2 linked regions of the Bombyx mori genome follow. The protein of the gene in region 2 binds, or shares a complex with, the protein of the main gene of each other region. Links are inferred from orthologs where the notes say so. Each region holds a gene or a part of one and is shown on either strand. Other genes may lie near its edges.

Region 1 (6,476 bases), on a different chromosome or scaffold from region 2:
TTTAAGCCTTATTACAAGCTGCTAAGGCTTATTGCCTGTAGCAGCTTAACCCTGTTACATCCCGAAAAATACTATTTCCGGAGAACATTATATTATTCTATTTGCAAATGGAGTGAAAAAAATTAATAAAACATAAGCTACATACCTACTATTCATGATTTACCAAGTAACTTTATCGGTATATAGAATACCAGTGTCATTAGGCATCAAAATTAACGATGAAATAATCATAGATCATCCTTACGCAACAAATAATTACAAATTACATACATGTGTTGCATTGCCAGATTGGTGTTTAGTGTTATATAATATAATGTAATTATATAATTGTATAATTTAAAATACAATTCTATCCTAATATTGTAATTTTGGAAGTGTGTTAGTTTGTTTCTGAATCACAAAAATGAATGAAAAAGTTTAGTTGAAATTTCGAATAAGCATCACTACATAGTAGACAACAAAGTCGCTTTCTCTGTCCCTATGTATGCTTAAATCGTGTATATAATCAAAGGCTTAAATCTTTAAAACTACGCAACGGATTTTGTTCCTTTTTTTTTTAATAGATAGAGTGATTGAAGAGGAAGGTTTATATGTATAATAACATCCATTAAATAGTGGAGAAATCAATAATAAATTACAGTTTCCGAAACGAAGCGAGGGCGGATCGCTAGTAGTTTATAACTTGAATGTACAGGGAGAATACTTTTACCATGGTAAATTATGATCCGGATAACAGTCGGTATATCTGTTATAATAAATACGTCCGTGCATTCGCTGGCGGGACTGATGGTAGTTTGTGGACCAGTGTGACACAAGAAAATTCTTTTTTTAAGCTACAGTTTTAAAGTAACCCGGACTGCGGTGTTCTTGTATTACGGAAATCGCGAATAAATGATAAAGAGATAAGAGCATAATTTTAAACAAAACTAAGTAACAGACCTTGGACTCAATTCGATTGATAAAACATCTAAATGGTTCTCCATGATTACCGGGGTCAGGCACGAAACAATTTAAACACCTCAACTCATATTATCCGACCCAGGCGAAGGAGATTGCAAAGCCGCCGTCGCACTAAACATGTCCTGTCGAGTCCCCCGGATCGGAAAAAGAACTTATAGGTATTTGTCAACTCATATTCATTGAATGCGAGAGGTAGTCACCGAGAATGATGGAAGTTTATCGAAAGAATCTACTGGACTTTTTTTCATTTGTCTCCATATAGAAGATATTTTAGTCATCGTCGCCTAAAGGGTAAGACGTCCGGTGCATTCGTATCTAGCGATGCAACGGTGTTCGAATACCGCAGGCGGATACCAATTTTTCTAATGAAATATGTACTTAACGAATGTTCACGATTTACTTCACAGTGAAGGAAAATAACATCGTGTGATAAAAAATAAACCCGCAAAATTATAATTTGCGTAATTACTAGTGGTAGGACCTATTGTGAGTTTGCACGGGTAGGTACCACCACCTCGTCTATTTCTGCCGTGAAACAGTAATGCGTTTCGGTTTGAAGGGTGGAGTAGCCGTTGTAACTATACTGAGACCTTAGAATTTATATCTCAAGGTGGGTGGCACATTTACGTTTTAGATGTCTATGTGCTCTAGTAACCACTTAACACTAGGTGGGCTATGAGCTCGTCCACCAATCTAAGCAATAAAAAAAAAACAAACGTGTGGCACTGGGGAACTGCCGCGGTATGCATTTTTTATCAACTTATGCAATTATAATTTAATATTAAAACAAGACCACGCCATATTAAACATTAAAAAAAGCTATGCAATAGCTTAAAATAAAGAACCTCGTATTGTGGATAATCAGCGCTGTTCGATTTATCGACCTTGAACAGCCTTAGCTGAGCCACCTCCTTTTGTCTTTTTTTTAATTTTTATTTTTCTTGTATTTTATTCTATTTAATGTGAAAGACAATAAATGATTTTATTTTTATTATTACCCTTTTGTTTGCTGATGTTCATGAGCAACAACGACCACTTATAAAATGACAATATAGCCTATCTATGTGCTTAATGCGAGTGTTTTAACGTTCTCGATAGCGTAAAAGGTAACATAAATTTGCCGCTAGGGACAAACGTTCCAACTCCATACTAATTACATGCGAGAACGTTAAAAAAGTCGCACTAAACACGCTGTCTATAACAAAATAAATTACAAATTAGAATCTTAAAATCAAAACTTCCCAAAATTTTGATTTTGTATTTGGTAACTTGACGAAACCCTAATCCCGTGCATTGTACAATAATCAAAAGAATAACGTGTTAGTAAAAAACTTTATTTGGTGTTACATAAATATTTAGATCTAAATTAAATTATAAAATATCTGTATTATACATTAAAAGGGTTAAAAACAATATTACAAAGGGTGCGAAACAAGTTTTCTTTTTTCTTTTAAATCATAATTTTCGTCTAATGTAAGGCATGCTAAAAACGTGACATTAATATACAATGCAGTAGCATATTATAGTCAAAAGTAGCATTCTTCAAAATGGAATGAATATAATTTTTTGAAATATATTTATCATTTCAGAGGGTTTTTCAAATATCATTTATATCGGTCTGATTGTCACTGTCATTGTCCCTGGCTAAGATAATCTTATATAATTAATATTAAAAAATAATTAGATCCAAATTCGTCATTTTGACCACACATTTGCTGTAATATTCAGTTCAATTGGTTTATAAAAATCATCGAAAATTTATATTAATAATCTTCATATAGTGTACAATATCTACAGATTTGTTTCCGTTTTGGCTTATGAAGCCAAGCCTTTTGAGTTCATTAATATAAATAGTTAACTTAGAAATAGTTCTACGTTTATATTTTGTGCTTTTAAATTCAGGTTCACGTGACCAAACTGATATTTTGACTTAATTCAAAACATAGTTTACAAGCACATTCAACAGATACATTTTTATTGCCAATAGAGTTAAATTGACTTATAGCTCATCTGGTCGTAAATAGATAAGAGCGACTTCAAAATAATATTTTTAAAGGAGTCAAATCAATAAATAAATCCATTGCACTTGAACAAAATAGCGAACGCGTCAATGATCAGTGCGAGTAAAGACAACATTCATAATCATTATATTTTGTATGGTATAAAATAATTAATTATTACATTTTACACTTAATATATTACATTAATAAGTTTAGTTGTTACATAGTAGGTACTTCAAGGCACAAATGGCAAGTGCATACTACATTTATTATATTTTTAAATTTGTTAGTTAATTATGTTAAAAAAATGTGAACACCGACATTACTGTGGTATAGTGGTTTAGTATAGTATAGACCAGTGATGGGCAAAGTACGACCCGCGGAAGTATTTTAATCCGGCCCGCCGAGAGTCCGTCCGTCCCAAATATTCTAGTCGGCAGTTTGGCGCGTAAAATAAAATCTGACGTTTATAATTGAAAATCTTCGAATTTTTCAAAACTCCCCTCAAAACACCCCTGACGAATTGGAGCTTTCATTATCTCATTTATTGGAGAAAAAAAAACATTTTTCTATAATTCTGGCCCTCCTCTAGTATTTCCTAAACATTGTGGCCGCCATTAAAAATGTTTGCCCACCACTGGTATAGACAGATTAATGTCGTTTATTCCTTGTATTTTTCGTTAACGGCGGACCGTGTAGTGATGAGCCCGACGTAGCCGACGTCGTAGTTCAGCCGGGAACTTCTCGTAGCAGCGTCTACAGGCGGGCCTCTCGTCGTATTCGTAGAACTTGCTACGCGTGCTCAGCGGCGCATCGCAAACGGAACACGCAAAATGATGTACGCACCAAGCCTTGTTCAATGCGGTGAATACTACGAATAAAATTACAGTTATTAAGAAAAAAAATGGTAAATTAAATAGATATTTTTGATTCGACCAGTTTGTGTTATTGAAGTAGCAATCAGCAGTACAACACAATAAGTTACATATTATGTGTAACATGTTACTTGTGATATATAACCTATATTATATTCACATTAAAACCTTCATAATTATAATACATACTAGCACACAAATTTTTAAGAAGTTAAGAATATATTCATTCGATAATATAAAAAAATCAGCTAAATAAGCAAGATATAATTTCAAATCACACTGAATATAATTAGTTTTTAAGTGAATTGTGATATTATAAAAACGTTTATGATTATTAACCAATAACACAAATATTGTGTTCAGAACTTATTTTGTGCAACAGCTATGTGTAGAAATCTTTCCCGTTCTTTTACCACTTATGCTGGTAATCTCGTGAGGTTATGTCAACTTAACTGTGCGAATAGGTGCTCTAACCTGACGACGTTGCTTCGCAAAATCTACCACCGGATCGGAATCGCGACCCACTGAGAAGATCCGACGAGAAACTCAGTAGGCTTTTTCCAGTATTAGCCCGCACGATATTAAAGCATTATTAAACTTAGTTAAAAAACAAAGATTTTTATTAAATTTAACTATTGCGTGTACTCCACTTGGCCATTTTCGATTGTTTTCTTTATTAAAAATTATATTTATTAACACAACTTACTTATTACGCAGAACAGTGTACTTAAACGATAAACCAATACAATACAGACAATTATGAAACCTCATCATATCACATGCCGAAATCATTAAATTTTAAATGAAATAATCGAATAGTTACCGTCGCCGGCGATAACTTGATTACAGACGTAGCACAAATTGCCGAACAACTGGTGATAATGTTGTTCGCAGTAGGCCAAGCCTTTCTTTTCATAATGACGATGGCCGTGAAATGGTTTCTCGCATTTGGCACAAACGAAATGCTGAAAAATTAAATTTTCTTTAAATTATTATTTTTATTGCTTTCGACTCAAACGGAACAGGTAGCAAACGGGTGATGATAACCAGTGGTCGAAGTAGGTAGATTGATTTTTTATATACTTGCGTCAAAATATTATAATATACACTAATATGGAATAATGGATTAATATTTTTAATATGTTTTTCACCTTAAACACAGATTCATGATAATTTCAAAATTCCGGAACAAATATCGCAATAAATATGAAGTTCCGGTATTTTGGAGGCATATCCATATTATCCTCTACATTTGACGTCAACGATCTTAAATCAATCTACCTACTCCGACCTCTAGTGAAAACCTAATCCATAGATATCGCAATGTGAATTGCGCTACCCCCTTGCAACGTCGAAGTTTCAATTCTATAATTACTACCATACCCTTCCAATCGAAACGCTGGATGGTTTCGCCGCATAGATAGGCAGACCGGTAACACTTATCCGTGTGTGGGCTCCCAATACTGCCGCCGATAATTATGCATATTTATAAGATTCTCGGTTTTTGTTAAACACTATATTTTTATTTCATCGTGGAAGTCGCTCAAGTGAGCATGTTAGGTACGTATTTACTTGGAACTAGGCAATGGCAATAACTGATTCGTCGCATCTAAAATCGTTAATTTTATTAATGCAATACAATTGAGGCTTTAACCTCGTGTCTGAAGTTGGACGCCGAGATTACTATTATGGTGTGTGATTTTCGATAAATACTTGTAACGGATAGGACGTCGTCAACTGCTGCAATGACACATTTGTTTATCATGCTGAAGCACTCTCTTTTAATGAATTTCGCAAATAGTGAAACTTATGGATTTTAGGAATTGTCGTGTATAAGAGATTTGTAAGTATCGTGATAGCAAGTCAATTGATGTTTTGCTATTTTTTCCATTTCACTTTTCATACAACAAAAGTGGCTTCGGCCATAACCAAAGATTAGATTCTGAAGTCACTTGCATATCCTCTTAAGTGGGAATCGCCACGAGGTGGTAGAAAATAGAATGCGCAATTTGAATGAAAAATCAGAAGCATATAGTGGATTTTTATATTGGTTTATACATACATAATAATATGTATGTTTGTATGAAACGGAATTTTTCAACTTAATTTTGACAGAATTCAAGACGTCCCATTAACTTGAACATGCATCAAAGACCAATGATAATACAATCATTTTAGGACTTCGCTCTATAAACGTGACCAGCATCGACAGACTAAAAAGGTTCTGATTTTTATGGTATTTATTGTATTCTATGATACCTACCGCTTCAGGACAATCTTATTGTATCACAAATTGTATGTTTAAATTAATTGGAGCATACCTCAACATGCCAATGTTTCCCGAGAGCAGTAACGATTCTCTCCTCGATGGGACGTCGGCAAGCACCGCAGATTGGAATACCCATTTTATCATGGCAACGAAGACAAAAGAGGTTATTCTGGAATATTTTTTTTTAATTAAACAAACTTCGATTAGCTCAGATTAAATAAATAAAATACTTAAATGATTGACAGTCAACTTCTCATTTACATTTAAGGAATTAAAAACTAGTTGATAATTTAATTTGCATTAGTTCTTCGGGCACATCACTCGTAACGAAGACTCCATTGAGCGGTTGGTGGTGCAAGGGAAAGTCGAGGG
Region 2 (6,786 bases):
GTGAGGGTAGGCTGTTGACAGCTAACTATTCTATTTATAATATTCTATGTATAGAACGTACCGTAGACGTAGTGTGGCTACCCACACTAGCTCCCTCGCCTCCCACACGTTGGACAGACCACCTATTGAGGTATGCGGGATCTGCTGGACGCAAGCAGTGCAGGCCGATCATTGTGGTTTGGGAGAGGCCTATGTCCATTTGAGGACATCTGTGGGAATAAATATCTACCTACAATATGATAGTGTAACTTAAAAATAAAAAAGGACTGTAAACAAGAAGAACTGTAAATTACTGAATATTAAAAAAATTACTCTTTCTATATCCACTTCCAGATGGTTGATGCATACTCAATGAACATGATACTTCAATACATGAGAATAGGTTTGATAGATCTCTCTGAATACTCACTGACAACTATTGGAGAATTGTCAATCGCAGCGAACTTTCTTCAAATAACAGAATTAATTAAGCAGATTGAATACTGTTTAGATCTCCATCTTTCTGTCTCAAACTGGATGGAGACAATGATTATAGCAGAAAACTCTTCTTATACTAAATTAGAGCAACTGAGTGCTGCATTTGGATTACTTAATTTTAAACAAATGAAAAAAGAGTACATTTTAAATATTCATAGACTATTTTGGTATTTATCACATCCATATTTAGATACTGATAATGAATTAGAGGTTTTTAGATTTGGTTACGAATGGATTATAAATTCAGAAACAGGGGCCGATGCTATATTGATAGTTTTAGGATGTTTAGATATACAAAGACTGAGTCATAATGATATCAAAGAAATAAAAATCCTTATAAAGGATTTTGTTGATAGTTTGCCTCTTAAAGTAGTTGATTGTATTTTAGAGATTACTGAACACAGTGAATTGTCTATAATAACTTTGACTGAAAGGAAAGATGAACTATGCGAAAAGTTCACTGCCAGGGTATATATTGAAGTTTTTAAGTTAGTAAGTGCAAGTGTTAATCGTAAGCTGATATTCACACCCACAGTACCAGTCTGGATAGTCAAAGATACAAAACCTGAATTGATATCGCATAATATGTATACATTTAGTGAAGATACAGGCCTTGAAAAATGGTTGGAAGTTGCAGAGAAAAACTTATGGGGTTGGAATGTGGTAGCATGGGGTGCCAACAAACTTGTTCTGGTTTGTGGAGAACATGGTAGAGGTACGAGTGTATTCATGAAAGATGTTAAAGTATATGACACTTTCCGTAAGGAGTGGATCTTGCACGGTGTTGAATTACCATCGAGAAGACATGGTGGAGTTGCTATTATGGGAGACTCATTGTTCATTATTGGAGGTGTAGGTGGTTTTAGGTTGGTTTCTTTTATTTATTTTAACTCTGTATTCTCTGAGCATCAAGACAATTCGCAGTTATGTGCCTATTTTGTTGTGAAATAATAGTTACTAAAGGTAATATTTTATAAATTGTTTTGTTCCTTGAAATTTTGATAAAATCACTTTACAATAATAAATTTTGCTTTTCTCATTTTAGAGTTGTACTTGATACGGCTGTCATATATGATTTAAAACAAAGAACACACAGGAAGATTGCCAAATTACCAGATACAATACAAAATCCAGCTGTGTGCGTACACAATAATTCTATTTATGTATCAGGTCAGAAGAATATTTACCAATATGAGGACTTAGGGCAAACTGATAGATGGTCCACAGTCATACTAACAGATATTAGACCAAATTGTATGACGTCATTCAATAATTACATTTATTGCACACAAAATTATTTTAGCCATCTCTATAGATTTCGACCTGGCATAGATACGAAATTGCAGTTGATCACTTACTTTACGAATCCGCCAGCTGCCATTTGCCATTTAGGTAAAATTCACGTAAATAAAAAAAGTATTTTAGGTTGTGAAAGATTTGTAAATAAATCTTTAGTGTGTTTCCAGGTTCAAAATTGCTCTTTTTCACCAGGCCAATGTGTGGTCAGTCAGATACGTTAGCAGTTGAAGAGTACAAAGGGAAAACTGATGATGAAATGCCCAACGTTCTTTGGTCAGTTTCAAATTCAAAAATCAAAGTGAACGATGTTGCCGGCTCATGTACCTTAGTCATCAACATACCTCCAACAAGAACTGCAATCTCTCGATACCATAAAAGATATTTGTCGCAATATTAATAAAAAGAAAAAAAAACACTCTTTTATTAGTTTAATTTTATTATAAACACTATATTATTGAATAAGTGAATACGTTAATATATTTTTTTTACAATATACATTACAATAAAGGCAAAATTACATTGTTAATACTCGTATTGTATAATTTAAATACGACGGCATTATATGCGATCTCGATGAGACTAGTTGTCAATAACTTTATTAAATAAGGTATACAGCATATATATTGATAATTGATACGACCAACAGTGGTGTACATTTTAATACCTAGCTAATGTTATTTACAATGATAAAATAACTATATAAATCCTTATACGTGTCTAAATTACGAAATTTCTCCATAAGCCCACAAAAGCACCAAAGACAATTCCAAGCGTAATAATGGCACTTTTCAATAGGTTGGTAGTAATAAAATATTTAGTAGTTTCCATAAATTCTAGCTTTCCAAAAGTAGATTTAAATATATATTTTTATAATCTGACGGCTGAAAGCAGCATACAATTTAGCTTCCACATCAAATAACCATTTTTGGTATAAGATTACGGTCGCTAAATAACGTTAATTTTGGAAGCACTACAATATATAAGACCTTAAAGTAAATATTGATTAATTAATTTTTCGTACAAAAATACACTACATTCATACTTTTACTTATTACCTTTATAACTCAAGGCACTCCCGAAGGCCATTAAAACTTACTGTGATTCATTAATTTATTGTTTTAATATTTTCCTTTTGATGTATCTCGTATTTTGCATCTAACTTTAGCGTTAGCATCGAAAGTGGTTTTTTAATTTTAAAATTTAAATAATAGTATTCACGAACGTTTCTACTGTGCTAATAATATAAATGACGGATTTTTTATTGGACACTTCGAAACTGCAATAATTCAAATTAAAAAAATTATAATATAATTAAACAATGTATCTGCTCAAAAGGAGCGTCGCATAATAAAAAAAAAATATTAGGGTTGTCAGATATTACGTCCACCCGCCGGTCAGTTTGTGGAACAGTTCAACGTCCAATGTCTGGTTGGCATCCTTGGACCTCATCGAAAGGAATATGTAGCCGCCGATGAACTCGTGTACGACTTTGCAGTCGGCCGACTGTACGGAGAATATGATGTTGTCCTCCTCGAACTGGACCATCATGTGCTTTATCTCCCAGTTCACGTTCCAGGCCTGCAACCAGAATTCGAAATGTTAATTCCGTGTGCTTAGTGCGAGTTTTTAAGGTTCTCGATAGCGTAAAAGTTAACTTAAAAATTTGTATGGAATTGGAACAGCGCCCCTAGCGGCAAACGTAGGCAAACGTTCCAGCTCTATACAAATTTGCGTTAACTTTGACGCGATCGAGAACGTTTAAAAACTCGCACTAAGCGCAGTGTTTGTGGAAATTTATTAAGGAAAATATTCGATTTGCCGCAAATTTCCATCTGCATTGAACTATAAAGGTAAATGTTTATTTGCTTATTAAATGTCACTATCAATTTGGGATGACGGAACTATTATTAATATAATAATTAAAAATATTCGCTATAAACTTATGTATGTATTTTTAGGGTAATTTTTCGCGATCCATTTTCTTTTAATCACAGATGTGTTTTGTTATCCATAAGAATTAAAATTTGTAGAAGTTTACTAGTGCGACTTTTTTATATGTATTGTTGATGAGGCAACATTGCAAAAATAATTTTAAATTACAATATCAATGGTTTCATAAAGTGAAAAGATATGGAGATCCAAACGTCCTAAAGTGTTATAGAAATATGTTATAAGAAAATAAGTACCTTCATGTTACTGAACCTCCAGGTCTTAATGTGATCTCCGGTGTGCGGGTCCAGCCTCATGATCCTGTTGTTGGCGATGCCGATGATCTCGTCCTTCTTGTGGCCCATGAACCGAACCACGAACAAGGTCTGTCCGTAATCGGCGAGGTTCTGCCAGGTCTTGATGTACTGGAGCTTCGCTTCGAGGAGGGGTAGGTCTTTGACGTTAGCGTGACTCTCGAGCAAGCGTTGAGTGAACTGTGAACGAATACACATACGTTTTGTATGTTAATGATGGACGTGCTCATATCGAATAGGACATTTATTAAAAAATTAAATTTTGTTTTTTTTTATTTTAATTTTGTATTTTTAATTTTAATGGTATGGACATGTGATTAGACGAAATGAAAATAAGGTTGGTAAGAGAGTGTTAACAATGAATGTGGAAGGATATAGAGGAAGAGGTAGAGCTAAGAAAACAAAAAGGGTGCGTGTACTTATGTACACGCGTAAGAAGTTATACTTTATTTTTATTATTTATTATATTTATTTTTTGGAACCGGTGGTAGAGTTAACATTGTTATTTGTATTTTGACATTCAACAAGTGTGTCATACTGACATCTAAGTTGAAATAAATGATTTTGAATTTTGAATTTTGAATTAAATTTATTTCTTTTTTTTTAAATATTAAATAATTAATAATAAATATTTAACGTTAACAATTTAATAATATTTAGTATGAATTATATTAAATAATAAATTTGTCATTTATATTACTAAAAAATTGATGCTAATAACACTTTTTTTTACGAGTGTACATGCGGCTGCAGCTATATTCAGACTCGCCAAGTTACGTCGGTCGTATTGTAATGAGCGATTTAGTGGGCAACTTCGCTCTGTTAATTTTGTGTCACGGTGCGCGCGCATCGTAAAATTTCACTCTAAATTTTTCATAACCCGCCTAAAGAAGTATAACTTCAAAAAACGTGTGCAATTTACACGTGGTAGAAGTGAAACCTTCAAAATTTAAAATACAATTATCCTAAATGTATAAGTGTATGTAAAATTTTGTCATTAGTAAATAATTGTAAATCATCTTTTATAGTATGAGGTAGCGTCCTCTGTGAATTGATATTTTAACTTCACGTATAATCCTAAATTAAAATTCAGTGAGGTTTCATACACACGTTAGTATTAAAAACATCTCATAGATGGCGCTGTATTAAAAAAAACTACATTGAGAAAGAACGTCTGTGTTCAATCTCATTCTCTCGCCGGCTGAATCCTATTTTTTTTTTTTTTTTTTTTTTTTTATTGCCTTTGTAGGCAGACGGGCATACGGCCCACCTGATGGTGAGTGGTTACCGTCGCCCATGGACTTCAGCAATGCCAGGGGCAGAGCCAAGCCGCTGCCTACCGCTTAATACTCTCCATAAGCCTCGTTTGAAGAAGGACATGTCATAGCGCTCGGGAAACACCGTGGAGGGGAGCTCATTCCATAGCCGGATGGTACGTGGCAAAAAAGATCTCTGGAAACGCACTGTGGATGACCGCAGTGGCTCCAGGTAGTATGGATGAACTCTACTCCGGTGGCGGGCGGTGCGATGGTAAAAACGAGATGCTGGTATCATCTCGAACAATTCCTCAGAGCACTCCCCATGGAACATACGGTACAAAATACAGAGGGAACCGAAGTCCCTCCGCAGACCCAGAGGCTCCAAACGATCCGAGAGAATGGGATTATCGACAATCCGAACGGCCCTCCTCTGTATGGAGTCAAATGGAAGAAGCTGGTATTTGGGAGCCCCGGCCCAGAGATGGGAGCAGTACTCCACGCGAGGCCGGACTTGTGCTTTATAAAGCAAAAGTCTTTGTCCAGGCGTGAAGCACCGCTTCGCTCTGTTGAGGACTCCCAGCATTTTGGACGCCAACTTGGCTTTGCCTTCCAAATGACTCCGAAACTGGACATCGCTCGAAATGTCGACCCCAAGTATCCCGATACTCTCGGAAGGTTGCAGGGATACTCCTTGGAATTGCGGCGCCATGACAAAGGGGTCCTTCTTCGCAGTGAACGCGCAAACCTGTGTCTTCAACGGGTTGAATTGAACTAAGTTCGATTCACCCCATTTGGAGACTCGCCCCAGAGAGTTCTCCACTTCAGACACAAGTTTTGATCGTCTCTCTTGCACCACGCTCCGAGAGAGACTCTGATGGCCGATATATCGCGCATCCCCCGTGCTATCATCTGCATAGCAGTGCATGCCATCAATAGACAGCATGTCATTGATATACAGGATGAAAAGCGTGGGGGAGAGCACCGAACCTTGTGGAACGCCAGCGTTAATGGTCATGGTATCAGAACAGTCACCGTCTACAACGACCGTGATGCTCCGCCCATCCAAAAAGCTAGCGATCCACTTGCAGAGACCCTCGGGGATTCCGTAAGATGGTAACTTCGATAGAAGTGCCCTATGCCAGACCCTGTCGAAGGCCTTCGCGATATCATACATACAATTATGTGTTTGTGTCTCTAGGGACTTATTTTTTCGTTTCATCGAGTTTGAAATCACAACGATTCTAAAGAAGTTTTACTTCAAAAATGGATGGATTGCCTGAAAGACGTTAAGTGTAAGAGGGTAGTGAGCGAAGAAATGGTATATGATAGGGGAGTATGGAAGAGTAGAAAATGTTTGGCATGAGGCGCCAGGTGCCCAGGAGAAGGGCAGGAGAATGATGATGATGTATTTTTAATTTTTACCTTGGACTTGAGTTTCTTGAGGTACCGCGGCGCCAGGTAGTTCTCCGGCTGCAGGTTGTGCGGCAGCGCGTGCGCGGAGAGCGCGG

What was found.
Region 1: unc-112-related protein (region 2) and LIM and senescent cell antigen-like-containing domain protein 1 share a complex: the UniProt entries of both Caenorhabditis elegans proteins name them as parts of the integrin containing attachment complex. The link is inferred for Bombyx mori from reciprocal best matches to the Caenorhabditis elegans genes unc-112 and unc-97.

Annotation. Positions count from the first base shown.
Region 1 is NC_085112.1:7,030,063-7,036,538, forward strand, and holds the end of LIM and senescent cell antigen-like-containing domain protein 1, read right to left. Parts: intron 6,274-6,476; coding exon 6,157-6,273; intron 4,801-6,156; coding exon 4,659-4,800; intron 3,832-4,658; coding exon 3,641-3,831; 3' UTR 2,279-3,640; downstream 1-2,278. UniProt on the Caenorhabditis elegans protein: Component of an integrin containing attachment complex, which is required for muscle development and maintenance. Probably function in adherens junction.
Region 2 is NC_085131.1:10,832,485-10,839,270, forward strand, and holds the end of unc-112-related protein, read right to left. Parts: coding exon 6,701-6,786; intron 4,200-6,700; coding exon 3,963-4,199; intron 3,355-3,962; coding exon 3,154-3,354; 3' UTR 2,195-3,153; downstream 1-2,194. Other genes in the region: kelch-like protein 26, read left to right, coding at 334-1,343, 1,523-1,869, 1,944-2,173. UniProt on the Caenorhabditis elegans protein: Component of an integrin containing attachment complex, which is required for muscle development and maintenance. Probable regulator of cell-extracellular matrix adhesion. Required during initial muscle assembly to form dense bodies and M-lines.